4 linked regions of the Lonchura striata genome follow. The protein of the gene in region 3 interacts with the protein of the main gene of each other region in a pairwise test. Links are inferred from orthologs where the notes say so. Each region holds a gene or a part of one and is shown on either strand. Other genes may lie near its edges. The genes, in order: HOMER2, ENOPH1, RNF41 and ASB6.

The links.
Region 1: the proteins of RNF41 (region 3) and HOMER2 interact in binary tests that used the Homo sapiens proteins (3 or more experiments, as listed by UniProt). The link is inferred for Lonchura striata from reciprocal best matches to the Homo sapiens genes RNF41 and HOMER2.
Region 2: the proteins of RNF41 (region 3) and ENOPH1 interact in binary tests that used the Homo sapiens proteins (3 or more experiments, as listed by UniProt). The link is inferred for Lonchura striata from reciprocal best matches to the Homo sapiens genes RNF41 and ENOPH1.
Region 4: the proteins of RNF41 (region 3) and ASB6 interact in binary tests that used the Homo sapiens proteins (3 or more experiments, as listed by UniProt). The link is inferred for Lonchura striata from reciprocal best matches to the Homo sapiens genes RNF41 and ASB6.

The regions. Positions count from the first base shown.
Region 1 is NC_134613.1:14,903,967-14,911,161, forward strand, and holds the start of HOMER2 (homer protein homolog 2), read right to left. Parts: upstream 3,002-7,195; 5' UTR 2,905-3,001; coding exon 2,810-2,904; intron 1-2,809. UniProt on the Homo sapiens protein: Postsynaptic density scaffolding protein. Binds and cross-links cytoplasmic regions of GRM1, GRM5, ITPR1, DNM3, RYR1, RYR2, SHANK1 and SHANK3.
Region 2 is NC_134606.1:60,814,671-60,821,747, reverse strand, and holds the start of ENOPH1 (enolase-phosphatase E1), read right to left. Parts: upstream 3,043-7,077; 5' UTR 2,987-3,042; coding exon 2,903-2,986; intron 23-2,902; coding exon 1-22. Other genes in the region: HNRNPDL (heterogeneous nuclear ribonucleoprotein D-like), read left to right, coding at 3,451-3,539, 3,830-3,998, 4,087-4,248, 4,511-4,642, 4,757-4,871, 5,444-5,611, 5,776-5,846. UniProt on the Homo sapiens protein: Bifunctional enzyme that catalyzes the enolization of 2,3-diketo-5-methylthiopentyl-1-phosphate (DK-MTP-1-P) into the intermediate 2-hydroxy-3-keto-5-methylthiopentenyl-1-phosphate (HK-MTPenyl-1-P), which is then dephosphorylated to form the acireductone 1,2-dihydroxy-3-keto-5-methylthiopentene (DHK-MTPene).
Region 3 is NC_134629.1:5,463,514-5,470,687, forward strand, and holds the start of RNF41 (E3 ubiquitin-protein ligase NRDP1), read right to left. Parts: upstream 3,056-7,174; 5' UTR 2,987-3,055; intron 1,186-2,986; 5' UTR 1,053-1,185; intron 1-1,052. UniProt on the Homo sapiens protein: Acts as E3 ubiquitin-protein ligase and regulates the degradation of target proteins. Polyubiquitinates MYD88. Negatively regulates MYD88-dependent production of pro-inflammatory cytokines.
Region 4 is NC_134624.1:3,661,347-3,669,380, forward strand, and holds the start of ASB6 (ankyrin repeat and SOCS box protein 6), read right to left. Parts: upstream 3,058-8,034; 5' UTR 3,034-3,057; intron 2,192-3,033; 5' UTR 2,129-2,191; coding exon 2,016-2,128; intron 1,595-2,015; coding exon 1,413-1,594; intron 1,071-1,412; coding exon 964-1,070; intron 661-963; coding exon 552-660; intron 71-551; coding exon 1-70. UniProt on the Homo sapiens protein: Probable substrate-recognition component of a SCF-like ECS (Elongin-Cullin-SOCS-box protein) E3 ubiquitin-protein ligase complex which mediates the ubiquitination and subsequent proteasomal degradation of target proteins.

The sequences.
Region 1 (7,195 bases), on a different chromosome or scaffold from region 3:
AACACCTATCCAGCACCTTCTTAAATCAGCTAATACCAAAATCTCAAGCATCCTTAGAACTGTAAATTTAACTTGGACTGCTTAAACTGAGGTCATTCTGAGCCAGACCACGGCCATTAGATAAGTAGGTGCAGCCCACTAACATCAGAGACACTTCCTTGATTGTGTCAGCCCTTGGCTTGCAAGAGACAAAGCAGGAGGTATTTTCAGACACAGATTTCTACAGCTGGAAATGTGTTGCATTGTGGTTTTCCAATAGCTGAAGTTTAAACTCTGAGAGGATTGAGGTAACAGCAGCTATCAGATATGCTTGGTAGAAGAAAGAAGTGATTTGAGAAAAGATTAATTCCCTTTAAAGTAGACATTGTCCAGCCAGATTCTTAACAGTGGCTTGACCAAAATACAGTGGTTTTCAGTCAGCAGCAACTTTCACATTGACTTTTATGGACCCTGGAGCAGACTTTTTTCTGGTAACTTTTTTACAATGTTGTTTTCATGTCCCTTGTATTACAGGCATTAGTTTTTTTTTAAAAAAACATGTAAATTGTAAAACATTACACTACCTTGCTGACTAGTAAGTTGAACTAAACCAACAGTTTAAACAGCTCAGCTCACAGCTAATAAGCAATTTAAATAGCTTTGCTTTGCTAAGCTCAAGTAGCTGTATCAGGTTTCATAGCACGATCAGTCACTGCCAAATCCATAGGCAGCATTTAAATGAATCATTAGCAATGGTCACCCCCAGGAAAAAGAAAAAAGGAAAGTAAAAGAAAAAAATATTTTAAGAGCTAAGAATCAATTAATTGTCACAATTTCTTTGAGTACATGCCCCATATGTGACACTAAAATGTGCCCAGGAAGCAAATCCCACTCAAATGCCTGGGCCAAAATATACTCATGCAAGTAAGAATGACTGAGCTCTGTGTTCTGACCACGACCTGCTTCACAAAGACACGTGAGTACAGAGCTGCCCATTTCACAGAAGGACAAGCTGGAGCATGCAGAGGTGAAGGATTTGCAGCATAGATGGAACCAGAAGAAAACTGGGAGGTTGCTCCTGTGCCATGTGTGCTAAGCCACAGCTGCAGTAATGCTATCACAAATGCACTTCCAAGTTCTCCAGATCAGAAAGGTGAATGACAAGATAATTATGTGAGACACTGGGAAAATGCATATTCACCAAACACCTTGTCTGAACTCTGTACAGAGTGCAAGAGAAGGCACAACCCACGCTGAAACCCGCGGAATGAATGACACTGGGAGCTTGATCTCATGTGCACCAGTGTAAGACTGAAATTACTGAGAAATACATTAAAGCAGTGTATTGAACTGACCAGTGAACGTGCCTGCTCCCTGTACAGGTCTGCATGATCTGACACTGCATGCAGCAGCACAGACAGGAGCACAACCAGAGCTCTCAAAAGCCTTTGCAGCCAAAGTCCTTCGCAGCTGGAACAGCTCCGGAGGCAGAGCAGGACCACACCAAGGCCAGAACTAAACTGACTGACAGAAAGGGTGGAGGAGCACTGTGACCTTCCACTCACTTCTCTCCAAGCCACAGCTAAACTGATCTACCAGAATGGAAATGGTTAAAAATGACAGCAACTAAAACATTTGCCTTTAGAGACACCCAGGTAGATCGACAGAGGCAAGTTTCCCATGGATGGATGTTTCTGATCATCCTGGACTCTGTGGGGCAGTGCTGCTCCGAACAGGTTTCAATACTTCTTTCTCCAACCCCAAGGACAGTTTCTCTTTTATTTTCCAGTTAAACTTTGCATAATTAAGAAGCAGATGAGCCCCTGTAATCCTGAAGAGAAACGTAGGGAGATACTCACTTAGATCCTATTTCTCCCTCTGCCCCTGTATTTCTATTCAGTACTCCAGAGTATCAAATTTGGACGTGTGCATGCCATTTTAATTCATTATTTATCCATACAGCCTCACATTATATTACTTTGACAACAATTAACAAATCTATAGTGGGAATTTGGACATTTGAAAGCAGCAGAGGAAGCTCAGAAACTGGAGAACGATTCCTTGCCACACGGGGGTGAGGAGAGGCAAGGAAAAGGTGTAAGAGAACATAATAGGATAAAAATAAAGTAAATTAAATGTGTGGGTTTGGAATCCCCCAAGACATTCTGGTCGAGAGGATCTCAAACCTATATATAGTTCAAGCCAAAGGCACAACCTTAACCTCTGTTCTCTGATATTTAGTTCATAAACTACCCTAATGCCAGCATTTGGCGTTTGTCCCCTCATACAAGTTAGAGGATAACAAAAATGAAGGACTAATTTTTGGAAAGACCAAGCTGAATTCTCCAAAAGGCTACCACATGTGGTCAGAGACTCCTGGCATATTAAAAAATGTTTAAAAGAGAAAAATATGTGCACAAATTAGGGACCATCTGGCACAATTCAGGCAAGTTTACCGTGTGCCTCCAGCAGCCAGAGCTCCGGCAGAACCGGCGCGTGGAACATGACAATGAACTCGCCGCACATCCCGCAGCTGACCGGCCAGGGACCGGCCCCGCTCCGGCCCCCGCTCCGCGGCATCCCGAGCTCCTCCCCGCTCCTTCCAGCGGGGATTTTGCCGCCGGTGCCGTTCCTCCGCGGCGTGCCCGCTCCGCCGGCGGCTCGGGCGGCAGCCAGCGATTAATTACGGTACCAAACGCGTCCAGGGCAGCGCTCACGGGGCGGCCGCGCTCGCCCCGCTCCGCACCTGCGGCGGGGCCGGCGCGGGAGGCGGCGCCCACGCGCGGCTCGGGGCGCGGTGCCCCGCGGGGCCGGGGCCCGGCGGACTCACCCCATGTCTCGGCACCTCTCGGCGGCGGCGGCGGCACCCCCGGGCGGCTCCCCGCGCTCGGCGGCCAGCGGCGGCCGCGTCCCCACTTCGCACATGCGGCCGCCCCGGCTGGCTGCGGCTGCACGGCGGCTGCACGGCGGCGAGAGCCGTCCTGCTCCTCCTCCCGCCTCCCTCCCCCCTTACATAACCTCCCTCCCGGGCGGCGGCGGCACCGAGCAGCTCCCGCGGCACCCGCCGCCCTGCCAGGCGGCAGCGCGGGGGCGGCGGGCGGGGCGGGGCCGGCCGCGCCCGGGGCTCCGCTCCCCGCCCCGGGCCCGGCCGCCGGCGCTCGGCGGGTTGTGCCGCGGTGCGCGGCCAGGAGCCGGTGGGGTGCAGGGTCTCGTCCTCACGATGCCCTCGCCGGGGGACGGCGAGCCGCCGAAGGGGACGAACGAGGCGGCAAGAAAACTTCGGGGGAAGTTGTGGGGTGTCCCCACGCGGCCCCGCCCGCGGCCGGGGAGCCTCAACGGCGAGAGGGGTGAGCCCTCCCCGGGGAGCGGCTGTCCGGGACCGGCTGTCCCGCACCGGGATGCCGCGCCGCCAGCCCCGGCTCCGCGGCGCGGGCACGGCGCGCTGGTGCCGGGGATGCGCTTCCCCCTGGAGGCGATGCCACGCCGAGGGATGCCCGGTGAACCACGAGCGGGTTCTCCCGCTGTCACGCCCTCCCCGCGTTCCGAATCCGCGCTCCCCGGGGCCGTGGGGGCGCAGCCTGCGAGCCGCGGGCTCGGCTCTGCCCTGTTCGGCCACCGGCAGGGCAGGGGCCGCACGCAGCCAGCTCCCGCCTGCTCTGCCCAGAAATGTGGGAGGTCTGCATCTCCTTTGGCTCTTCTCAGCCTCGCTGCAAGTCTGTGCCACACACCGTCCCAAAACTATGTAGGTTTCGTGAAAATAAAGGGGGACGATTCCTAAGCAGGGAAGGAAAATTGGACTAGCGTGGAAGAGCCGTGTAATGGCTACCTAGCCGCGAGGGTGACACTGGCATCTGAGCGGCAATCACAGGACACAAATCCATAGCAGAGCCGTGGACCTGCTCGTTCGAGTGTTCACAGGACTGTGTACGCAGACACACTTACTCTTTCATGGAGAAAATACGACCAATTCACACATAAAACAGGCTTTTAACTTCACCCACACAAAGTTATAATTAATACTCTGCCACCAAGAGTGATTATTTTCATCTTTTTTTTTTTTTTTTTTTTTAAATCTCACGTTGATTTATCCTTTCTTTCCAAGGAAGATTAGAAGTTGTGGGAAAAGTTTTATGTTTGCTTGCTTTTACTTCATGTGTAATAACTGGGGGTGTCCCTAGTATTGCCTTGGGACATCATGGAAATCCTGAAAGAAAAACTTAGCCAGCATCCAGACTCCTTCCAGCTGTGGACAGTGGAACCCTTTTTCTGACAGACAACTATTTCTTGATGTCTGGAACACCAAAATGGAATTTCAGTCCCATGCACCCAAAGTCTTTTCCGTTGGAGGGAAAAAAGAGCGGGGGTGAATGACACAGACATTTCCACAGGGCTGTAGGATGACACCTCTCCCATGTACCTGCTCTCTTTACCACGATCAGAGGGTTACTGTGGGTGTTGAAGGAGACTTAACTCCTTACCTAATCACTGATGTAAAACTTCCTATGTCCTGTTCTGCCAGCTGAAGGTGAGATAGCCTCTGATTTCCTCTGAGATACCCATGGCAAAAGTGACAAGCCTTTCATGTTCATGATGACCTGCATCCTTGAATATTGCTTTGATGTGACCATTTTGTCTTCTAGAGGACACAGTGAGGGGTGACATTTTCTAAGGGTAAAAACAGCAGCATAGAAATCTTGTGGAAAAAACTCTCACCATGGATCTGAGCATTTTATAACATTGTTTTTACACCATTTACCGCATTTTGTTAAATCTCCGTTCATCAGAGAGAAGTTCTCTTGGTCCTCTCTAATTAGCTCATTTTGGTGAGTATCCAAAAGCTGTGTATTATGAACCAGTGCTGCATGAGACTTACAAGCATCTAATGGAATTGGATCAAAATGGGGTAATGCCCTCACTATGTGTGTCATGATGAGAATTGGCAATTGGAACTGCAGTTGCCTTAGCATTTTCTAATTTTTAAATTTTTTTCCAATATTGCATTCAAGACTGTGCTCTCAACCCCATTTATAAAAATAAAGCTTAAGTTTATGGAAGCATAATTCACATGATACAAGATTTTGTATATCGCTTTTGTTCATAAGGTCTTTCCACTTCATTATTGCTCTTTGCAAAACTGTCTTCTAGGACATAGAGGGTTTTAGTCCCATTTTTCCAGTACCCTGAGACATTTTCCCTGGTAGACAACAATTTAACCCAGTTTTCTGTTCATATTTGGGGTAAGTGCAGTCCCTTCATCTGAAATTCCCACTGTTCTTCCAAATGGATGAGATACTCCTCCTTCTGAAGTGTGGCACATTGTTGTGGTCCTCTTTGCCAAAAAGAGGATGAAGCCCTGTCCCCACTTCAAGTCAATGGTAAAAGTCCCATGGATTTGAGTAAGGCCCAGATCTCATGCAAACCACTTAACAATATCAATATTGAATTTTTTTTTAATTTTTCTACAGACAGCTCCATCTTGAACATCTCAACCGTAACTGTGTCCTAGTTTGTGTATAGTTCCCATTGACTTATTTTTGTGTAATTTAATATTCCAGTTGTTTAAGGTATTTTCAGTTCTCTGGAAATGAGAACTATAAATATTCTATCACAATTAATGAGTTCTCAAGCTTCATATGTGACATGATCTTTCATTTCCGAGCTGGCTCAGGCACAGGATGTGTAAGGGAGGGTAAATCAGTCCTCATTTAGTATTCACAAGTGTGCCCTTATTGCTGTGGCACGCTTAGGAACACTTAAAATACTGAAGGCACAGGATCCCTTGGTAGGATTCAAGCTGAGGAATAAAAATATCCACATTCTGTAAATGGGTCTAACTTCTTTAGATGAGAAATTTCTTCTATTCCCACAGGCCTCCTAAAGATACAATTTTTTGATTCCTAGATACAGGATGAATATCCTTTTCAGAAAGCTGATCTAACAATCAGGACTATGTACCCAGCATTTTGAAAAGCAAAGAGCTCACTGGGCTCTTCCTCTCTCTGTGTTTCTGTTCTCTCCTTTTGTTTGGTTTCACTATTGTTGTCTTCTGCCACTCTATTTTATTTTAGATGTAATTTTATTGCAGAATAAACCTGCTGTTCAGTCTTTTTAAACTATTACACTTCAAGGTAGATTTCTCTCTATTTCCCATGGCAGGTAGTATTAAATAAAATATTCAGTACTGTGATTTTTCTCTTTTTTCCAAGTAGACTGATAAAATCTGCATTTTTTTAATCCAGCAGGACTGTGCCATTTCCCTTTTTTTCCCCCCTTTGACAAATAACTAACCATTTTCTATCTTTAAATGTTATCCTGGATTTAACCAAAATAAGCTTGGGGAATTCTTGATTTTTACATTTGAAACAGAGAATTAGTTTTTTTAGTCTCCTGACAAATGGAGAGCTAATGTAATTATAATATCACTGGCTATAAAATGTTAAAGGTGAAGCGACAGAAAAAAAAGGATTTTCAATAATTATGTTGAAAATACTCTGATTTGCAGTATTTGTTTTTAAAACCTACTTAATCTAATATCTAATAAATAATTAGGACAAAAGATCTATTTGCTTAAAATAATAAACGCTCTTGTCCTTTCAATTAAAATGTTAGAGCTCACAAAAAACATGAGACTTTCAAGTTCTCCAGCAAGACATCTGATTTCTAAGAAAAAAAGTTTTTCTCTTCAGTCTCCTTCAGAAATAAGCCAGAATAATAGGATTACTTTCTGTCTCTTTAAAAGCAAAAAATAAAAGGGAAAAAGTAATTTAAAAGCAATTTAAATTGGTTTTAAATTTAAATTTAAATTTAAATTTAAAATGGGTTGCATGTTATCTTACTATTCTGTGCGGTTTATTCTTATATTTACTTAGTGCCAGGAAGCACCTGTATAACTGGAGTCATAGAAGGTTCATGCCCAGTTTGTACTTCACTTTTTTTAGAGTTATCCTGTGAAAAATGCAAGTACCAAATCCAAGCAGATGTTTATGTAAATGCAAAGAGCTGTCTTTGTCACATTATGGTATATGTTGCCTTCTGAATAAAGACAAAGGCAGCCAACCAAAAATAATTTAAAATAAGATCTTAAAGAGAGAAGACCTGGACATACAAAGAAAGCCAGCAAAACCAGAACGATGCCCTGCAGTCACCACCAGGACTCCAGCCTGGATGTGAATACCCAGCAAGGAGTTGAAGGCTACAAACCTGTAAGAGGCTGTAA
Region 2 (7,077 bases), on a different chromosome or scaffold from region 3:
TGATGTAAGGAAACAAGGTCTCCTGGCAGAAAAAGAGGCTGCTCCTTTAACCTGGCAGAGGTAAGGCTGGCTGGCTTTTAAAGGAAACGTTTGCACATGCTGCTTTGTACAGTTATTTCCCCAAACTTAAGCTTCCCCTACAGTGCTGTAGCTGGTGAAGATTCCTGCCAAGGGTGTCCGCCTGGGCACAGGACTGAGCCAGTCTTGGGCCAGGATCAGTGCAGGTGGATTTTTTTACACAAACGTTTATGTAGCTGAAAGTCTTATAGCCTGTGATGGAAAGGCAGGTGATAACTTTTCCTGGGCTTGCCAAAAAATGTCTCAAGTGGCACCTGTGACCCCACATTCCCAGTAGCTGAGGAGTACAAGGCTGGCAACTCTGAACAGATAAGTTATGCTATTGTATTCTTGATGGGGCACTTGTCCAAGAAAAGGTCATTCTGTCTAAACCTCTCACCAAAGCTAGAGGACCTTTTAAAATTAAAAGCCTGGTCTGGTGACACCGAACTCCACAGGACAGTCTTGCAAATGAAATTAAACGGGGTTTGGGAGAAGCGCCACAGGAAAATTACAAACCTTCACCGAGATCCCAAGAGCAACCAGAAATAATTACAAATTGCTCTCATTAATGATGTTTCATGAGTCAGAAGCCACAAGCAGCCACCGTGCATCTCCGGGTACAGTAAAAGCCTCAGGTCAAGGAGAAGGGCAGGGAAGTCCTTCCTCTGGGTAGAGAACTGAGCTTTTCTTAATTGGGAAAAAAACTAACCTAAACTCACCTCTCCTCAAAAAATGGCCCATAGTTTCTTGTTCCTTGTTCTATGTCATCTTTAGTTTGTTACTTAATTAAGAAAGCAGTGGTCCTGAGATTGTGATGTGGTGGCAGAACTGCAGGATTTTCTATTGCTCTAATACTGTATTTTCCATGCTGTATATTTTTAAAAGAATGCAAATTGCTTCAAGAATTACCACAAACTTGCCTAGGGAAATCAAAAGCCTTGTAATGCCCCCTGTTACTCTCATGTCCTTTACTTTCAAACTATCTTTTAAATCATGGAGGAAATGAAAGAGAATCCACTGGGAAATGCAGCTGACCTGCTGGCTTGGTTTAACCTCCTTTACAACTCAGATGTCAAAAGGACACGATTGCTTTTCAAAAGCAGTGTTTCATACTCTTGTGCTGGCTAAGAAAAACTCCCAAAATGACTCTGAAAGACCAGTGGATTCTATGATTTGGGGGACTTTAAAAGGGTAAAAATCTTGGTCCACTGGCAAGTGCATAGGTCTGTGAACTAAGAGCGGACACCCATGTGACAGCTGGAGTAGTGGACAGCTAATGGGACAAATGTTTTATGGATCCCAGCCAACGATGTACTAAGTTTAATAGGCCAGGAATCTGTGTGGAAGACTCCAAATACTCTCTTTTCTGACAGCTTTCCTTAATCCACTCATCAACTGACTCATCCTATTTCCTTACTTTGCAGATTCAGTAATTCTAACATTAGAGAAAGAATTAAGTAAAATTGTTTAATATTGAAGAATAAAGTGTCCACTGAACCATCAGTTGGATCTTTCAAAGGCAAATAGAGGTTAACTGAAAGACCAGATGAAATAACTTGTTCCAAGCATTTTCAGGGTTTTCATCAAACTGAATTTTATTGAGAATCAAAACTCATTTGGCCTCTCTGCAACAGAAAGACTTTGGGTGGAAGCCCAGAGTCTCAGGTGCATGGCATGTGTTTGCACAACTGCAAAACGGCTTCAAGGTGGACAGAAACAACTTAGTTGCTCTGTTAGATGTTTAGTAAGAAACCTGAGCTGTCCAAACTGTTTGAATTGAAAGATATTGAGGGGAGGGAGGAAGCTATAATGCCATCTTAGGCCTGGAGTTTCTTCAAGAGCACTGGAAGAACATGGACAGGAAAGATGTAGGTCATGCTGTTCATCATCAGCTGTTAAGCTGTGTTAGCAGAAGGCTCTAGAAAGCCAGGCAGGAGCCTTCACCTGCCATGTGGGTCACAAAGCACCTTTGTGCGCCACTGGCTGCAAAGATCCACCAAAAGCTATAATGTCTCACAGAGAAATCCAAGTTAGGGCAGGAGAAGGGATACATCTGTTCGCTGTTTTAGCAAGCCGCTCCCTCCTGCGAAGCAAAGCCTCCCGGAGAGGAGGGACCCCTGCTATGACAATTTGCGGTTCTCCGAGCGCCTGTGACTCGCAGACTTCCCAGTGCCCCCGGTTCTGCACCTGAACCGGCACTTCCAGCAGTCTTAAGCTTTTTCCTAGGCAAGGGAAGCCACTCGTGCGTCGGTGCCACTCCAGTCCCTGTCGCGAACGCTCGGTGTGTCTGTCTGTCCCCTGCGCTGCCCTCCCACACCGGGGGCGCCTGGCTGTACCAGCCTCCCCAAGGGAAAAGGCAGCGGATCACCCCGAGAATTACCGATTACTGCAAACTGTGCATTACTCAAATTAAGGCCAAGAAGCGTCTCCGCAGAGCCGGGTGCGGTGCTGCAGCTCCAGCCATCACAGGATCGGCGATGCTCGAGGGCTTTTCCCGGGTGAGGCTGCGAGCACCCCAATGCCCTACATCCAGGAAACAAATCCCCGAGGTGCCCGAATCTCCGCGGTAGCGACCTGCCCCCAGCCCACCACAGCGGCGGCCGATCGGCAAAACAAGGCGCGCTTGCTCGCGAGCATTATTCGGAAAAACGCGGAAAATGGGTCACGGCTTTCGTTCCCGGCGGCACCTCGGCCTGCCTTGAGGCGAGCTGCCGGGGCCGGGGAGGTCACGGTAGGAAGGGCGATGCTACGGGAGCCCCCCTCGACGCCAGGGCTGGGGGTCACGACGGGAGCGGCGATGCTACCGGAGCCCCCCGCGGTGCCGGCGGCCACCGGCTCTCACCTGGACGAAGGCGATGGGGGTGGTGGTGCCCTCGATGTCCAGCAGGATGGCGCGCACCTCCGCCGGCACCGGCAGCACGCCCATGGCGGCGGCGGCACGTGGGGCGCACCGGGGACGCGCGGCGGCGGCGGGGAGCGCCGCGCCGGCTGCGCCCGCCCACGGAGCGCCCGCCCCGCCCCTCCCCACCGCCGTCGCCCGAAGGGGGTTTCTGGGTTACGAATTACAACCCACCGCCGGCCGGCCCGCTCGGCCCCGCCCCCGCCCGTCGCGGTGCCCGGTGCGGCGGTGCCCGAGCCCGCCCGGAGCCGCGGCACCGGCCCGGCCCAGCCCGCGCGATGGCGGCCGCAGGGCGGCTGCTGCAGCGCCGCCGCGAGCCGCCGGGGGCGCTGCGGAGCCGGGCGGCAGGGCGGCGCTGATTGGCTGCCGGCACGGCTATATAAAAGAGGCGCAGGCGGTGCCCGGATCTCTTCCGCCGCCATTTTCTGCCGGGCGCAGGTCTCCGCTGTCTCCGCCGCTCGCACGAGCACCCCCGCCGCCCTCGCCTCGCCATGGAGGACGCGACAGAGATGAGTGGCGGCCAGGAGGAGTTCGCCGAGGGCTCCAAGATCAACGCGAGCAAGAACCAGCAGGACGACGGGTAGGGCCGGGGACGTGGTGGTGGGGGGGGGGAGGTGCGGCGGAGTCGCGCATCCATCTCCGCCGCCCGCGCTGCGGCTCGGGGGGGCGGCTCGGTGGCCGGGGGCAGCGCGGCCTTCCCTTCCCGCGCCGCGGCCGCGCCCGCCTTTGTGTGGCGGGCGGGTGACCCAGTTTCCGCGGGGCGGGGACGCGCGCGGGGGGGCCGAGCGGGCCGTGACGTCACCGGCGGGGGCGCGGGGGGGCTCCCCGGCGTTCCCTCACCCGGATCCGCACGCCTTCCGTGCCCTCCAGGAAAATGTTCATCGGGGGCCTCAGCTGGGACACCAGCAAGAAGGACCTGACAGAGTATCTCTCGCGGTTTGGCGAGGTCGTGGATTGCACAATCAAAACAGACCCGGTCACTGGAAGGTCGAGGGGGTTTGGGTTCGTGCTCTTCAAGGATGCTGCCAGCGTGGAGAAGGTGGGTGCTGTTCTTGTGGTCCGATGGCACGGAGCCAGCTTGTGTAGCTGTAGCGATCTGAGACTTTGTTCTTTTCTCTGCTTTTTAGGTGTTGGAACTGAAGGAACACAAACTGGATGGCAAGTTAATAGATCCTAAAAGGGCAAAAGCGCTGAAAGGGAAGGAGCCACCCAAAAAAGTGTTTGTTGGTGGGCTGAGTCCAGATACATCTGAAGAACAGATTAAGGAGTACTTTGGTGCTTTTGGCGAGGTATAGTATATTGGCATATAAGAGCACTCCAATTCTCAAGTGTAGTCTGGCCTCTTTCTTAAGAAAGGATTTGTGAGGTGGTAGTTGGCCAAAACTAGAGCTAGTTGAATCTATATATTAATGATTTCTTAAAATTGTAATAGTCTGATTTATAGCTGCCAGAAGTAGTCAGCATATCGATTCTGCACTGCCAGATAGTTCTGGTGGCATAAAAAGGTTGCTTACAGATTTTACGCATTGTTTATGTTCATTTTGATTTCAGATTGAAAACATTGAGCTTCCCATGGACACAAAGACGAATGAAAGGAGGGGCTTCTGTTTTATCACGTATACAGATGAAGAGCCAGTAAAGAAGTTGTTAGAGAGCAGATACCACCAGATTGGTTCAGGCAAGGTGGGAAAACTCTTGTTCTTAGTATGTGAAATCCGTCTTTGTAGGCTTCTGTGAAAGCAGCTCACAAAGTGCTCGTGGAATTTGTAGTAAGTTAAAGGATTTCTGTCCTTACAGTGTGAAATCAAAGTAGCACAGCCCAAAGAGGTGTACAGGCAGCAACAGCAGCAGCAGAAAGGAGGGAAAAGCAATTCTTCTGGTGGACGTGGAGGTGGAAGGGGGCGTGGACGGGGTGAGTATTTTCAGTGGTTCTGTTAATCTAAGTACTTAACCAAACATTCAGGTGTTTGCAGATATTCCAGGTTGCAGGCTGTGTGCAGATCTCATGTTTAAATCAAATGTGTAAAGTAGCCTGTGAGTAAGTGGTGTTTTGTTGGTTATGGTTGCTTGTTGAAGCTGAGGAGCCTCCTCTTGATCTGCTTGCATTCAAGTGGTAAAGGGGCAAGGTGGGTGTAGGGTGCACCCTTAGTGGACAGTGTAACCAGCAGTTGCAATTTCACTTTAAAGTGATACATCTAATTGGCCTGTGGGAGAAAAGCAGGAGCTGTTTGCTAAGGAGTGGGGTGGTCACTTTGCTGCACTTTCAAATAGATCAGAAGGATCAGCTGGTACTATACAGGTTAATGCATCTCAATCTATAAAGGTCAAGCAGCCACAACTCGCACCACACAGTAAGGCTTGTCCTTTGGTGTCACTTGGTACTCAGGCAACTGGATTATTCTCATGTCCAGAAAGTTAGATAAAGGGGCACAGGAGAGGAGTGAAAAAAGTTTTGAAACTTACACTTGCTATGCTTGGTTTCAGGTCAGGGACAAAACTGGAACCAAGGATTTAATAACTATTATGATCAAGGCTATGGGAATTACAATAGCACTTACAGTGATCAGAGCTACAGTGGCTATGGAGGCTACGACTACTCTGGGTACAACTATCCCAACTATGGATATGGGCCGGGATACACGGATTACAGCGGTGAGTGGTTTTGCCCTCGCTCCTGATAAGAAGAGCAACTTTGCTCTTAGTCAGCCCATGGCTCTAAAGATGAGATCCCTTGGTGTGCTGCTGTGTGTGAAGCTTCCCTCTGAGGCTGGTGTTAACACTTGTGGGTTCTGTTTTTCCCCACATGCTACCTCCAGGCCAGCAAAGCACATATGGGAAGGCGTCCCGTGGCGGCGGCAACCACCAAAACAACTACCAGCCCTACTAAGGCAGTACCTAGTGCCTGACAAACAGGTGTGTACAGGAGCGCAAGCTCCACTCCAACTACGTCTAATCTAATTTAAAGATCAATAGACAAACGAAGAGTAAAACCTTGCCTAGCATGACTTTTCCTTTAATTAAGCTTTTGTTAACTTAAAAAATACTTTTTTTTTAAAACCAGCTTTGCCTACGTGTCTATAGATCTTTAACTTTGTAAAAGCGTGACTTTATCTTCTTTAGTACTTCAGAAAAACATAAGAGTTTTTCTGGTTTGCGTTGTGTACCAGGTGGTCTAGAGGAATAATTAAACTTATTAGAAGTATTAACAGGTAAAGTACTGAAATGGGTACAACTTAAGGAAAACAAGAATGTTGTCTTCTAACTCTGACATTATACCTTGTTTGTACCCGCCAGCGGGAACTTCATTGCAGGCCGTGTGTCACCCTGACCACGTCTATCTCTGGGGTCGCACGTTGCAGGCAGAGCGCAAGGCATACACCAGAAAACGCTGTCCTGTGGTATGGTCTCTTCCAACTTCATGTACCAGCGTAAAGATTAAAGTGGAAAACTTCAGACTTTGGCTTCTTTTTTTAATCTTTTTTGGAGATTAAGTGTCTTTAACTTAAATGGTTTTTTACAGGAGTTAAAGTACATAAATGCCTTTACAGCTTAATCATTTGGTCTTCTGTTTAGTGTTGTATTTCAATTGTGGAACCTCATTTTAAATGTGCATTCTTTAAGATTTTAATGCTTGCTTTTTTCTTTTTATAGCTAATAGTGAAATCTGCAAACCAAAACGAACTTTTAAATCTGGATAAACATTAAAGATCATATGCATATGGACTGTGAGCTAAAGTGACCTGACTTATGTTGCACATAAGTCATTTAGCTGTATAAACAAATAATCGGAAAGCCTTTTGGCAGTATTTCCAATGGAAAACAAAGTGATCCAGAGCCTGCTTACTTGTCTTAAATTGGATGGTTGTTTTGGAGCAGCCTCCTAGATGGGCTGAATATTCGGGAAAATAAATTACTGATGGGCAACTAAACAAACCTCTTGTGTTACCTTAATAAATATGCATATGATCTTTAACAGTGAAGAAAGGAATATATAGAAGACTTAAAGCAGTTCATGAAAATGGACCTTTTAACAATCCTGTAGTAACTGTCACAGATCTGACATGCATTTTGTCTTGATTTTTTAGGTAGAGATACTGCGACAAAAAGCCATCTTGCAA
Region 3 (7,174 bases):
AATTCCCTGGAAAAGGCAGGAATTCCCATGGAAAGGCAGGAATTCCCTGGAAAAGGCAGGAATTCCCATGGAAAGGCAGGAATTCCCATGGAAAAGGCAGGAATTCCCACGGAAAAGGCAGGAATTCCCTGGAAAAGGCAGGAATTCCCATGGAAAGGCAGGAATTCCCATGGAAAGGCAGGAATTCCCACTGAAAGGCAGGAATTCCCATGGAAAAGGCAGGAATTCCCATGGAAAGGCAGGAATTCCCTGGAAAAGGCAGGAATTCCCATGGAAAAGGCAGGAATTCCCTGGAAAAGGCAGGAATTCCCTGGAAAAGGCAGGAATTCCCATGGAAAGGCAGGAATTCCCACGGAAAGGCAGGAATTCCCATGGAAAGGCAGGAATTCCCATGGAAAAAGGCAGGAATTCCCTGGAAAAGGCAGGAATTCCCTGGAAAAGGCAGGAATTCCCATGGAAAGGCAGGAATTCCCATGGAAAGGCAGGAATTCCCACTGAAAGGCAGGAATTCCCATGGAAAAGGCAGGAATTCCCATGGAAAGGCAGGAATTCCCTGGAAAAGGCAGGAATTCCCATGGAAAGGCAGGAATTCCCATGGAAAAAGGCAGGAATTCCCATGGAAAGGCAGGAATTCCCATGGAAAAGGCAGGAATTCCCTGGAAAAGGCAGGAATTCCCTGGAAAAGGCAGGAATTCCCATGGAAAAAGGCAGGAATTCCCATGGAAAAGGCAGGAATTCCCATGGAAAAGGCAGGAATTCCCATGGAAAGGCAGGAATTCCCATGGAAAAGGCAGGAATTCCCTGGAAAAAGGCAGGAATTCCCACGGGAAAAGGCAGGAATTCCCATGGAAAGGCAGGAATTCCCATGGAAAAGGCAGGAATTCCATGGAAAAGGCAGGAATTCCCATGGAAAAAGGCAGGAATTCCCACGGAAAAGGCAGGAATTCCCATGGAAAGGCAGGAATTCCCATGGAAAGGCAGGAATTCCCATGGAAAAGGCAGGAATTCCCTGGAAAAGGCAGGAATTCCCATGGAAAGGCCGCTGGGGTTACCTCCCGTGGCAGAATCCCGGGAATGCCGCAGGGCTGCGCTGGCCTCGCTCTCTGCCGGGAATTTCTCCCAAAATTCTCCCATTTTTCCCTCTCGTCTCCCACAGGCGGCGCCGCGAGGTCCGGCAGGACGGATCTGATCCCAGGAAAGAGAAAAAAACGGGAAAAGTCACCTGGAAATCCCCGGAAAAAACACCCGGAAATGCCGGGGAAAGCCACCAGGAAATTCCAGGATAAACCACCTGGAATTTTCTGCATAAACCACCTGGAAATTCCTGGAAAAAACACCTGGAAATTCCTAGGAGAACCACCTGGAATTTCCTGGAAAAATCACCTGGAATTTCCTAGAAAAAACACCTGGAAATTCCTAGAAAAAACACCTGGAAATTCCTAGAAAAAACACCTGGAAATTCCTGGAAAAGCCACCTGGAAATTCCTGGAAAAATCACCTGGAATTTCCTGGAAAAATCACCTGGAATTTCCTGGAAAAAACACCTGGAATTTTGTGCATAAACCACCTGGAAATTCCTGGAAAAGCCACCTGGAAATTCCTGGAAAAGCCACCTGGAAAAATCACCTGGAATTTCCTGGAAAAATCACCTGGAATTTCCTGGAAAAGCCACCTGGAATTTCCTGGAAAAGCCACCTGGAAATTCCTGGAAAAGCCAATTCCCACCTGGAATTCCCAACGATGGGAAGAAATCCTGCCCTGCTCTGCTTTTTTTTTTGGGAATTTTGGGAATAACGGAGCCCCCAGCCAGGCTTGGACAGGGATCCACACTCAGAAATTTGGGAATTCCATTCCCAGTGGGATCCAAACTGAGAAATTTGGGAACTCCAGCCCAGTTCCCACTGGGATCCAAGCTCAGAAATTTGGGAATATTTTGGATTTTTCCCCAAATTTCCCTGGATTTTGTCCAAAATTTCCCTGGAGTCTTCCCCAAATTCTCTTGGATTGTTCCCCAGATTCTCTCCCCAAATTTTTCCATATTTTCCCCAAATTCTACTGGATTTTCCCCAGATTATTTTGGATTTTCCAAAAACGTCTCTGGATTCTCCCCCAAAATGTTTCTGGATTTTCCCCAAAATGTCTCTGGATTTCTCTCCAAATTTTTCTGGAGTCTTTCCCAAATTATTTGGGATTTCCCCCCAAAATTATTTTGGATTTTCCCCCAAATTCCTCTGGAGTTCCCCCAAATTTCTCAGGATTTTCTCCAAATTCTTTTGGATTTCCCCCAAAAATTCCTCTGGATTTTCACACAAGTTTTCCCATATTTTCCTCAAATTCTCCTGGATTTTCCCCACATTATTTCAGATTCCCCCCAAATTTCTCCATATTCTCCCCAAATTTTTCTGGATTTCCCCCCAAATTTTCTCTGAATTTATCCCCAAATTCTTTTGGATCTCCCCCCAAATTATTTGGGACTTTCCCCAAAATTTCTCTGGATTTCCCCCATATTCCTCTGATTTTTTCCCAAATTTCCCCCAAATTTCTCCATATTCTCCCCAAATTCTTTTGGATCGTTCCCCAAATTATTTCCGATTTCCCCCCAATTAATTTTGGATTTCTTCCCCAAATTTCCCTGAATTTCCCACCAAATCATTTTGGATTTTCCTCAAATTCCTCTGGATTTTCCCCAAAATTCCTCTGGATTTCTCCCCCAAATTCTTTTGGATTTTCCCCAAACATTCCTCGGGATTTTCCCCAGAATTTTCCCAAATTTCCCTGTATTCTCCCCAAATTCTTTTGGATTTTCCCCAAAAATTTATCTGGATTTTCCCCAAATTCTTTTCAATTTCCCCCGAAATTCCCCCGGCTTTTCCCGTTCCATTCCCGGTACCCGCTTCCCCCCCCCCCCGCGGCCTCTCCCGGTGCTACCGGGAGCCCCGAGCAGCGCCCCGGGGCCGCTCCGCCGCCGCTCCCACAGCGCACGTACCGCGGGGGGCGGGCCCGGCCCGCCCGGGGCCTCTCGGGGCCTCCCGGTGCCGCCCGGTGCCGCCCGGGGCTCAGCGGCGGCCGCGGCCTCCTCCCGGTGCCGCCGCCGCCGCGCCGGAAGTGCCGCCCTGGCCGGAAGTGCCGCCCTGGCCGGAAGTGCCGCCCTGGCCGGAAGTGCCGCCCTGGCCGGAAGTGCTGCCCTGGCCGGAAGTGCCGCCCTGGCGGGAACTCGGTGGTAAAGGCGGAGAATGAGGGAATGAGGGGGCGTGGTTTAGCCTCCTAGTCCCGCCTTTTCTCCATCGCTATTGGTTGGGCATGCTGCTCGTCAACCGCCTCCCCGCGCGCTGATTGGCTGCGGTGGAGGACTTCCGGGATCGCCCGCGGCGGCGGCGGCGGCGCCGGTCCCGGTGAGCGCGCGGCGGGCGGGGCGGGCGCCCCCTGGCGGCGGGACCGGAGGAAGGGAGCGCGTCCCGGTCCCGGTCCCGTTCCCGGTCCTGCTCCCGGCTCTGCTCCCGGTCCTGCTCCCGGCTCTGGTTCTGCTCCCGGTCCTGGTCCCGGTCCCGGTGGCCCCGGAGTGTCTCTCGTGGGTAGTCCCGATCCCGCGGTCCTGTCCCCGGTGTCCCGGCCGCCCTCGCGTGGCGGGACGGGAGGGAGCGCGGTCCCGGTTCCACTCCCGGTCCTGGTCCTGGTTCTGCTCCCGGTCCCGTTCCCGGTTCTGCTCCTGCTCCCGGTCCTGTTCCTGCTCCCGGTCCCGCTCCTGGTCCCGGTGTCCCCGGAGTGTCGCTCTTGGGTAGTCCCGTTCTTGTCCCCGGTGTCCCGGCCGCCCCCGCGTCCCCGCGGTCCGGTGGTCCCGATGCCCATCCGGGATGTTCCCGGTGTCCCTCCGGGATGTTCCCGGTCCCGGTGTCCCTCCGGGATGTTCCCGGTCCCGGTGCCCATCCGGGATGTTCCCGATGCCCATCCGGGATGTTCCCGGTGTCCCTCCGGGATGTTCCCGGTCCCGGTGCCCATCCGGGATGTTCCCGGTCCCGGTGTCCCTCCGGGATGTCCCCAAGCTCCACCCGCGATGTCCCGCCCGGCTCCCGCCGCTCCATCCCCGGGTCCCGGTGTCCCCAAGGTGCCACTCAGTGTCCCCAGGGTGATACTCAGTGTCCCCAAGGTGCCATTCCCTGTCCCCAGGGTGCCATTCCACGTCCCCAGGTGCCACCCCGTGTCCCCATGGGTCCCATCCATATCCCCGCTGTCCCCTCAGGTGCCACCCCGTGTCCCCAGGGTGCCACCCCGTGTCCCCAGGGTGCCATTTGGTGTCCCCAGGCTGCCACCCCGCATCCCCAAGGTGCCATTCTGTGTCCCCCAGGTGCCACTCGGTGTCCCCAAGGTGCCATTCCCTGTCCCTGCTGTCCCCAGGGTGCCACCCCGTGTCCCCAAGGTGCCACTCAGTGTCCCCAAGGTGACATGTGGTGTCCCCAGGGTGCCATTTGGTGTCCCCAAGGTGCCACCCCTGTCCCCAAGGTGCCATTTGGTGTCCCTGCTGTCCCCAGGGTGCCATTTGGTGTCCCCAAGGTGCCATTCCCTGTCCCCAAGGTGCCACCCCGTGTCCCCAGGGTGCCATTTGGTGTCCCTGCTGTCCCCAGGGTGCCACCCCGTGTCCCCAGGGTGCCATTTGGTGTCCCTGCTGTCCCCAGGGTGCCACCCCGTGTCCCCAGGGTGCCACCCCTGTCCCCGCCGGCCGCGCCGCCGCCATGAGCGCCGAGACGTTGGTCAAGGACGTCAAACCCGGCCTCAAGAACCTCAACCTCATCTTCATCGTGCTGGAGACCGGTCGGTGCCACCCCCGTGTGCCCCCCGTGCCCCGGGTCACCCCGATGTCCCCGGGTCACCCCGATGTCCCCAGGGTCACCCCGATGTCCCCGGGTGACCCCGATGTCCCTGGGTGCCCCCGATGTCCCTGGGTGCCCCCGATGTCCCCAGGGTCACCCCGATGTCTCCGGGTCACCCCAATGTCCCCAGGGTGCCCCCGATGTCCCCAGGGTCACCCCGATGTCCCCAGGGTGCCCCCGATGTCCCCAGGGTCACCCTGATGTCCCCAGGGTCACCCCGATGTCCCTGGGTGCCCCCGATGTCCCCGGGTCACCCCGATGTCCCCAGGGTCACCCTGATGTCCCCGGGTGACCCCGATGTCCCCAGGGTGCCCCCAATATCCCCAGGGTCACCCCGATGTCCCAGGGTCACCCCGATGTCCCCGGGTCACCCCAATGTCCCCAGGGTGCCCCCGATGTCCCTGGGATCACCCCGATGTCCCCAGGGTGCCCCCGATGTCCCTGGGTCACCCCGATGTCCCCGGGTCACCCCGATGTCCCTGGGGTCACCCCGATGTCCCCAGGGTGCCCCCGATGTCCCTGGGTCACCCCGATGTCCCCGGGTCACCCCAATATCCCCAGGGTCACCCCGATGTCCCCAGGGTCACCCCGATGTCCCTGGGTCACCCCGATATCCCCAGGGTCACCCCAATGTCCCCTCGCTGTCCCCCCCAGGCCGGGTGACCAAGACCAAGGACGGCCACGAGGTTCGGACGTGCAAAGTGGCCGACAAGACCGGCAGCATCAACATCTCCGTGTGGGACGACGTGGGCAACCTCATCCAGCCCGGGGACATCATCCGCCTCACCAAGGGGTACTGGGGACCTCTGGGGACACTTGGGGACACTTGGGGACACTTGGGGACACTTGGGGACACTTGGGGACCCCACTGTGACCCCCAAACCCTCCTCATCCTCAGCTACGCCTCCGTCTTCAAGGGCTGCCTGACGCTCTACACCGGCCGCGGCGGCGACCTGCAGAAGATCGGCGAGTGAGGAGCAGCCTGGGGGGTTTTTTGGGGGGTTTTTGGGGGGTTTTTGGGGTGCCAGGGGGGTTCTGGCACCGGGGGCACCCCAAAAAGCCGCGCTGCGCCCGCAGGTTCTGCATGGTTTACTCCGAGGTGCCCAACTTCAGCGAGCCCAACCCCGAGTACGCGGCGCAGCAGGCGCAGGGCAAGGGGGTGAGTGTGGGGGGCACGGGGGGTGCCCGGGGGGTCTCAGCTGAGATTGGCACGAATCTGAGGGGATTTGCACCGAATCCCCCCGGGTTGACCCCAAATTCCTAAAAAATTACATCAAATTCCAAAAAAATTACATCAAATTCCAAAAAAATTACATCAAATTCCAAAAAATTTACATCAAATTCCAAAAAATTTACATCAAATTCCAAAAAAATTACCCCAAATCCTCATGGATTTGCACCGAATCCCCCCGGGTTGACCCCAAATTCCTAAAAATTTACATCAAATTCCAAAAAATTGACCCCAAATCCTCATGGATTTGCACCGAATCCCCATGGATTAACCCCAAATTCCAAAAAATTTACATCAAATTCCAAAAAATTGACCCCAAATCCTCATGGATTTGCACCGAATCCCCCCGGGTTGACCCCAAATTCCAAAAAAATCACATCAAATTCCAAAAAAATTACATCAAATTCCAAAAAAATTACATCAAATTCCAAAAAATTTACCCTAAATCCTCATGGATTTGCACCGAATCCCCCCGGGTTGACCCCAAATTCCAAAAAATTTACCCCAAATCCTCATGGATTTGCACCGAATCCCCCCGGGTTGACCCCAAATTCCAAAAGATTTACATCAAATTCCAAAAAAATTACCCCAAATCCTCATGGATTTGCACCGAATCCCCATGGATTAACCCCAAATTCCAAAAAATTTACATCAAATTCCAAAAAATTGACCCTAAATCCTCATGGATTTGCACCGAATCCCCCTGGATTGACCCCAAATTCCAAAAAATTTACATCAAATTCCAAAAAATTTACATCAAATTCCAAAAAAATTACATCAAATCCTCATGGATTTGCACCGAATCCCCCCGGGTTGACCCCAAATTCCAAAAAAATCACATCAAATTCCAAAAAAATTACATCAAATTCCAAAAAATTTACATCAAATTCCAAAAAAATTACATCAACTTCCAAAAAATTGACCCCAAATCCTCATGGATTTGCACTGAATCCCACAAATTCCCATCAAATTTCACAAATTTACCCTAAATCTCCACAAATTTACATCAAATTTGCACAAATTTACATCAAATCCCCACAAATTTCCCCAAACCCCCCAAATCCCCCCCAAATTTGCC
Region 4 (8,034 bases), on a different chromosome or scaffold from region 3:
CGGATGCTGTCAGTGTTGTGGATCTGGCCACTGTCACTGCTGGCCAGGGCATGCAGCAGTGCTGTCTTCCCTGCAATGGAGCAATCAGTCACAGATGACAGGGTGACACCCCAAAAGGCAGGAAGGAAAACAACCCGCCCCACCCACCAGACAGCCAAACATAGGGAGTGACAACCAGTCTTCTGGCAGAGGCTTCCACTGTCCCCATGATGGTGCCCAGCTGTGGGGACAGTCAAAGACCACACGTGCAGGGCTGATGGAAGCCTCAGTGGGTCTATGTGCCATGGAAGAGTGAGTTTTAGAGCAAGTGCTCTAGGACAACAGAGGAACAGCCCCACCCCACCTCCCGTGGACTGCACAGAGCTAGGTTCAGCCCTTTTCATACAGCCAGCACACCAGGAGAAAATATCGAGTGCAGGGAGGTTCTGCCAGCTTCCTCCCAGCTCCCACACCCGACTGTAAGCAGGGAGCAGGCACAGCAGCAAATGGCCCAGCCCTGTGCCCTGCCCCAGCCCACCCTCAGCTGGGGGAGCCGGGCGGGGCGCACGGACCGTTCTTGTCGGCGGCGTTGACGTCGGCCCCCAGCTGCAGCAGCCGCCGCAGGCACGGCAACCGCTCGGGCTCCTCGCTGGCCAGGTCCAGGGGACTGCTCTCATGGATCTGCAAAACAGTTAAAAACAGTTAAAACACACTGGCAGATGTTGAAGTCTGTGAGTGTCAGCAGGGAGTTGCTGTTGGGGTTTTATCTTGGCCACAGTAAGTTTATCTCTCCAGCCTCCTCCCACACATCGCTCCAAGGCAGGGGCTCAGCCAAAGCCAACATGACCTTCAGGCACAGCACCACGGACAGTGGGCACAGGGATGTGCCAAGGGGAAGCAGCACAAGCAGGAGGGAAGCAGGAGGGCTGTCCCCACACAGCAGAGCAGCTGAGGCCTGGCTGTGCCCAGGCAGCGAGGCCGTACCCGGTCCCTGCGGTTGATGTCGGCGCCGTGGCGCACCAGGAGCTCCACCACGTCCGGCTGGTTGCGCAGCACCGCCATGTGCAGCGGGGTGTAGTAGGTGACTGGGTCTGAGGACAAAAACAGTCAAAGAAAACAAAGGGCTTCCCCAAAACGGCCCCAGTGCCTGCCAGGAGTGGAAGGGGACAGCTGGGGAGGGCCCTGGGAGCACAGTGATGCCTGAGAAAACAGGCACAGGCACCCCAGGTCCTGCTGCTCCAGTGGCTCCATCCTGCCAAAAGCCCCCCTGGTGCTCCTGGGTACACACAAGGCACATCCACACTACTCCAGCAAGGAGCAGGAGTGTCTGAGCTGGCAGCACCCCCTGTTTGTGCCCCAGCTATCCCCACCTGCCAGGGCAGCTTCTCATCTGCCGGTTCCTCCTGGCCCAGCCTCCTTCCCACCAGCCTCACCTTCAAAGCTGAGGTCAGCACCAAATTCCAGGAGGATTTCTGCAGCTGGGACAAGCCCCAGCTCAGTGACCTTCAGCAGGGCATAGCTCACACCTTCCTGATAAAATGGGGAGTGGATCTCCCTCTCCAGGACTCTTCTCACAGCTGAGAGCTGGCTCCTGTCACTGTCCAGGCAGGCAGGGCTTGAGACACACAAAAACCCAGCAGTTACTCAGTGAACACAGCTCAGGTGTGCAAGGGTCAAAGTGGCAGCAGGGAAGAAGGAAAATCCCTGGTCTTCCCTCTGGTCCCATACCCAGTGGGTCTCTGACCCGCTGGTTGTGGGGTTACACAGCAGCCTCAGGGCTGAGCTGAGCCCCAGTTTAGGCTTTGTTGCCAGGGGTCAGGCAGAAAGGGCTGTTCCTGGGGAGCCCCCACAGCTCCTGTGTTTGCCTTGCTGCACCTCCCTGTTCCCAAAGAACAGCAGCAAAATGAAGGTCTGTGGGATGAGCTGCTCGCCAGGACTGGAGGCTGTCCAAGCCAACGCTGTCCAACCTTGGCCACCTCCCTGAGCTCCAACCATCCCCCAGAAACACCCTGGGGTGTTCAGCCCCCCGCTCTTACCTCTCCAGGGAGCTCTGCCCTTCCGTGTCAGGTGTGGCCAGCAGCCCCAGGAGCTCATCCACCAGGGGCTGGTACTCCAGGACGATCCTGCGGAAGCCGTGCAGGAAAGGCATCGTGATCTGCCCCGCCCGGGGCCTCCAGCACGGCACCGCTGTCCTCCAAGGGGCTTCTCCCTCCTTCCAAACAAACGAGGCTTTCAGCAGGTTTGAGCATAGAAGAAAACACAGCCTCCCCCTCCTTACATATAAAGGCAGCGCAGGGATCTCCTCCCACACAGCGATCTGGTGTCTCCAAATGATCTCCTGCGCTCTGCAGTTATCTGGGCACGGCACGGGAACGCCCAGGCGGAGCCAGGACGGGCACAAAGCCCCTGTGCCAGGAGCCAGCCTGGGGGTGCTCCGAGGGGTCTGCAACCAGCAAAGCCCTGCCTGGCTTTTTGGGAGAGGGGCTGGAGCCACCCCAGGGACCGCCCACCCCGCAGATCCCTCCTGGGGTTCAAGCCCAGGAAGCCCCAAAATCCCCGGGCAGCCCATGGCAAGGGATGGGCAGGAGCCCCCAGACCCCAGCAGGAGGAACACGAGACCCTGCACAAAAACCACACATCTTAATTCCCTTATCGCTCTTTACCGAGCTGTAACAGCCCAATTAAAATAAGTTAGTAAAAAACAACACTAATTTTTCTGCTCGTTTTACAATACTCCAAAGCGGGAATATTTTTGTTATTATCAGCACGTACGTGTAAATAAATAAATAAATAAGGGTATGCACCACTCCTGACATACAAATATTTTTAGGTGCATTAAACACACCATCACACCTTTCCCTGAGGAGGCAGATCAGGCTATAGCGGGGGGGGGGGGAAAAAAAAAAAAAACAAACGAGTCCATAAAGCCCGGTTCTTTTTCACAGATAAACACCCACGAATTGCAATGCAACCCCCGCCGAGCAGGGCGGGAGGGAAGGGAGGCCCCGGCAGCGCCCTCCCCGCACGGCTCCCCGCGGCCCGGCCGCCCCTCACCTGCCCGGGCACCGCCACCGGAACCGGAACCGGAACCGGAACCGGAACCGGAACGGGAACGGGACCCGGGGGCGGGGCCTGGCTGGGGGCGTGGCCATTGGGGGCGTGGCCTCGCTCAAGGCGCTGCCTCGTCGAGCGGCATTGCGCATGGGCGTGGCTTTAAAGGGCGTGGCTTCAGTGGGCGTGGCCTCGCACGGGGCGTGGCCGTGGCGGGCGCGGCCAGCAGGGGGCAGCACGCGGCCGCGCGCGGGATGGGGGGGACGGGGGCATCCCCCGGGGTCCCCCCTCTGTCCCCCCCTTTCCCCCCCTCTGTCCCCCCCTTTTCCCCCCATTTCCCCCCCTTTTCCCCCCCTCTGTCCTCCCCTTTCCTCCCTTCTGTCCCTCCCGGGGCGTCCCCTCTCTCACGGGTGTCACGCCCCGCCTATCCCCTTCCTCGGTGTCCTCCCCCGTCCCGGGTGTCCCCCCATCCCGGGTGTCCCCGTTTTCCCCGATGTCCCCCGTCCCTCTGGAGGACCCACCCAGGCCGGGCTGGCTTTGCTGGGAGGTGGCACCCAGTGGCTGCCGCCCCCCCGGGGCTCGGGGTGGCTCCGGTGCCGCTGCCCGCAGCGCCTGGACCCTCCCCTGCTGAAAGAGCTACCAGGGGGAGCATTAGCCCAGGATTTATTGGTACTATTATCATAATCATCATTATTTTTATTATTATTCTGGCGGAATCCGCCAGCGCGGGGAGCTCTGGAGAGCGGCAATAACTGAAGCCGCCTTGGGTTTCCTATTTACGTATTTATTTTATTCCGGTGGAGCGCTTCCAGATTCCAGCAGGCAGCCGTGGCCTCGGGGCAGAAGGGGCGAGGAGGCCGCCCCGGCTGGGCATTTTTCTGACATGCTGTCACGGTCCCCCCTGTTTCCCACCCTTCCTTTCCTCACACAAAGTGGGGTGCCAGGCTGGAGGTCCCCAGTGCTTGCAGCCCCTGGACCCCGTGCCCACCTTCAGGACAGGGCTCTTCGCAGGGTGGCCCCGGTGCCACCAGGATTTGGTGCTGTGCAGTGGCACCTCGATCCTGCACCCCTCCTGCAGCCCAGCAGCCCCCCTGGGTGGGGTTTTGGGGTGTCATCCCCGTGTTTGCCTGAGTAGGGGTGGAAATAACCCCATCCAGCCCAGGCAGGGAGCAGAGGGGGAAAGCAGAAGGGAGAGTGAGGGACGGGGGGGATTTGTCCCTCTGCATAGGGGGGTTCAGCTGGCTTCAAACCAGAGCAGCCTGGCTGGGGGGACCCCATCTGGGGTGGGCTGGGCAGCTGAGACCCTCATTCCAGTCCCAGGTAAAGCCACACCCTGGGCCCTCTGTTCCCAGTAAAGCCCAAAAAGCCACAATCCAAGAAAACCCTGGACCCTCCACAATTCCAGTGGCAGCACGGGACACAAACCCCATCCCTGTCTGTGTGGCACTGGTGGGCACTTTGGGCAGAAATCGCTTCTCCTTTCCTGCTGTTGCTGGGAAAGGAGGGCTGCCAAGGCAGGGTCACCCCAGTGCCACCTCTGCCCCCAGCCATGCTGTCCCTGAGGATGAGAGGGGACACCGAGCTGCCCCAATGTGCATTTTTAGGAGCCCCACAGAGGCTTTTCCCCCAATTTGAAAGGAGCTTTTGGGGACACAGTGTGGGACCAAACCTGGCTCCAAAGCAGCCCTGGGAGGTGACAATCCAGGAGAGCCACGGGCTGAGCCCTTCCCTTGCCAGCAGCACAGCGAGCCCACGCACGTGGGAGTCCTCCCTGCCACGGCCACACCACGGGACACAGCGCAGGGAGATTCCCCAGCCCCACATTTCCTGGGAGCAGAGATTCTGCTGGCAGGGCCGTTCTGGCCGTGCTTGGGCGGGTGTTTAGTGCCTGGCTGGGAGAACAGCACCAGGCTCTGCCCCTTCCTCCCCACGGCCTTGGCGGGGCGGACTCGGAAGAATGCGAGTTGGCCATCCATCAGGGAGACACAGCAACAGCCAGCCGAAGAAAGAGGGGCATTTTAGGAGGAAAGCCAGGGAAATTTGATCATTAAGAAATCCTCCTGGCTGTCTGGGGGAATTTAATTAAATTGCTGGAAAGGGCTGTAAGCACATCTGGATCCAATATGTGCCGCTTTGATTTTTTTCTTTCTTTCTTTCTCTTTTTTTTTTTTTTTTTTTTTTTTTTTTTTTTTTTTTTAGTTCACTCTTTTCCCATCTCGCTGTTGAAGGAGGGGGGGAATAAAAGGGAAATAGCAGAGCCACGGAGTATTGGTTCATCTGGGACTGACTGGGATTCCTGGCAGGGAAAGAAAGAGAGGGAGAGAAAGAAAGAGCAGAAGAGAGGCAGAAAGAGAGGGAATGAGAAAGCTGGGAGAAAAATCTTCAGCAAGGGGCTTGCTGGAGTGTTTTATAATGCCACCAACCACAGAGACAGGGAGCTAGGAGGCAATGGGGGAGCTGTGAGGGCTGCAGGGGAGAGGAGCCAGCGCAGGGCATGCTGTACTTTTGGGGTCTGGCAGAGATGGAGGGAGAAAGAGGAGCTGCTCAGTAAATCCAGAAACACCATTCCTGCTGGGAAGGGCAGGGCTGGGCACGGGGGACTCCCCCAGCAGCTACTCCTGGCTGTCACCCCTGCGGGTGGCACTGCCCTGGCCCCTGCCTGATGCCCCGGGGGCGGAGGGGGTGCTCTGATCCCCAGCCTGGGCAGCACACGGGCCGGGCACACACCCCAGAGCCCTTTCCTGGTCCTGGCCAGGCACTGCCAGGCCCCCGCCATCCCCCACACCCTCCTCTTTCCCACTCCTTACCCCAAGCATCCTCCAGGCAGCAGAGGTGCAACTCCACGGTCAGAAAATCCTTCAGCTGTGGGCGAGCCAGCCCAGCTCTCTGCACCAGAACATCCACAGGGCGAGATTTTGGGAATGTTAGGAGGGAACTCCTGGGTACCACAAGGAGCAGCACCATCCCAGGCAGTGCTCCAAGGAGGCTGCACTGCCCCTGTCCACGGTTTTGGGGTGAGGAGGGGCTGGGGCTGGCAGAGCACATCCAAATCTGTGCCGTGCCGAGCAACACGGAAGCACAAGGTGTTAGTGCAGCGTGAGAGAAATACCAGGAAACCCCAAGGAAACACAAACTGAGATTACCAAACAAATATTATATTTTCAATCTTTTTCTTTCGAGAGGAAGATGAAGGACTGGCAAAGAGAAACACATCCATGCCAAGGGCTGCAAACCTGGCAGGCTCTGGACAGACAGATCCTCACCCTGAGGAGCCCAGCACAGCCCAGCACAGCCCAGCACAGCCCAGCACAGCCCAGCACAGCCCAGCACAGCTCTGAGGGGCCCAGCACAGCTCTTCCAGCTCAGTGCCTCTGCTTCATCACCCAGCAGTTCTGGCCCAGCAAAGCTGGACTCAGAGCTCACACCCAGCTCAGCAAAACCCAGGTGCTGGTGTCAGGTAAAGCAAACCTGCTCAGCTCCGTCTCTGCACCACCCAAAGCTGAGTCACCTTGCCAGCTTCGAAGTCCAGTTTAAAACACAATTTTTACCAAAAAATTAAATGATAAGAGCTTGCACAAGCAGGTTAGGGAACACCAGGAGTGTGTGTCTCAAGCAACCAGGTCTTGCTTGGGATGCCTCGTGTGGCTGGTGGTGTTAAAAAAACGATGCTGAGGAAAAAAAAAAAAAAAAAAAAGGGCAAATCCTACAGCTAAAAAGGAAATTGCATTAATACAGATTGTTTTATTTAAAAAAAGCAAACCCTGACCTCTACTTCAAAAAAGTCATTAGACATTCTCCTTCTGAAAGGCCGACAGGGGATATTATTGAAAGGCCAGTTAATTTCTCAATGACTTACTGTTCTTGCTCTGTTCATGGAAATGTGTAAAGAGTTGGAGGGTAATTTAAGGCACCCTGCAGAAAGGTGTGTAAATCTTTGCATGTCTAAAGAAACTTTACCAGACCACTAAGACTGGGGGAAAAAAGAAAATGCTGGCCCTCTTTTTTTTTCCCTTTTTTTTTTTTTTTTTTTTTTAAACTTTCCTTTGGAACTCTGATCCCCTTTGATCATAAAAAAGGTCATATTTCAACCAAAAAAATATCAGCAATCACAGGGCCCGAGGAAGTGCGAACCCAAGGGGGTTTCACCGACGATTATTCCCTCCATTTAATTATTTAATGCCAAGGACTGAGGGGGAGCTGTCTCCCCTGGAAAAGCCAGACAGTTCAAGAATAAGGTCTGGCCCTAAACAAGGAGGAGGAAGAGGGTTATAAACGGGGGTGGGGCTGCTCCATCCCCCGCTCCTGCCCTCGCCCCTCCATGCGCCAAGACCAGCCACCCCCAAAATAATCCCAGCAGGATGTTCCCAGCTCTGGAGACAAGAGGGGGGTGCTGGGGCATCCCAAGGATGGGGGTCCCCACTGCCCTGCCCCCCTCAGCAGCCAACCAGTGCCCATTGCTGAAGGGTCGGGGCTGACCCTCGAGCGGTTTCTCCTGGACACGGGGTCGTCTCCATCCTGGGTGGGGTCTGTCCCACGGTGGCAAAAAGCAGGATGGAGTGAGGGAAGGGTGTCACGAGGCTGTGCTGGGTCCCCCAGAGCCTGGTGGTCCCCGGGGGGATGCAGCCACCCTCTCCCCGTGAGCACGGAGCAGCCAGGAGGGCTGCTGGCCATTGATTCGCGCTCCAAAACACTCTCGGAGCGCAGAAGCGCCGCGCACAGCGCTGCCCTGGCACGGGGGGACAGGGGACACGTCCAGCCGGGCTGGGCAGCACCACAGTTCCCATCTTTGGAGCATCCCGCGGGGAAGCAGGAGCAGAGGCAGGGTGACATCAGCCCGAGGGGACAGAACCGGACACCGGAGCTGGCTCCCAAAACGCCCCTGGGGACAGCGAATCGGACCGGCAGAACCCATAAACGGAACCCCCCCCAAAAAAGAGGGGGAAGGGAGGCTGGGCTGGATTGTTTGCACACTGGAGGAGCCCCCCGCAGAGCTGGAAAGAGCCA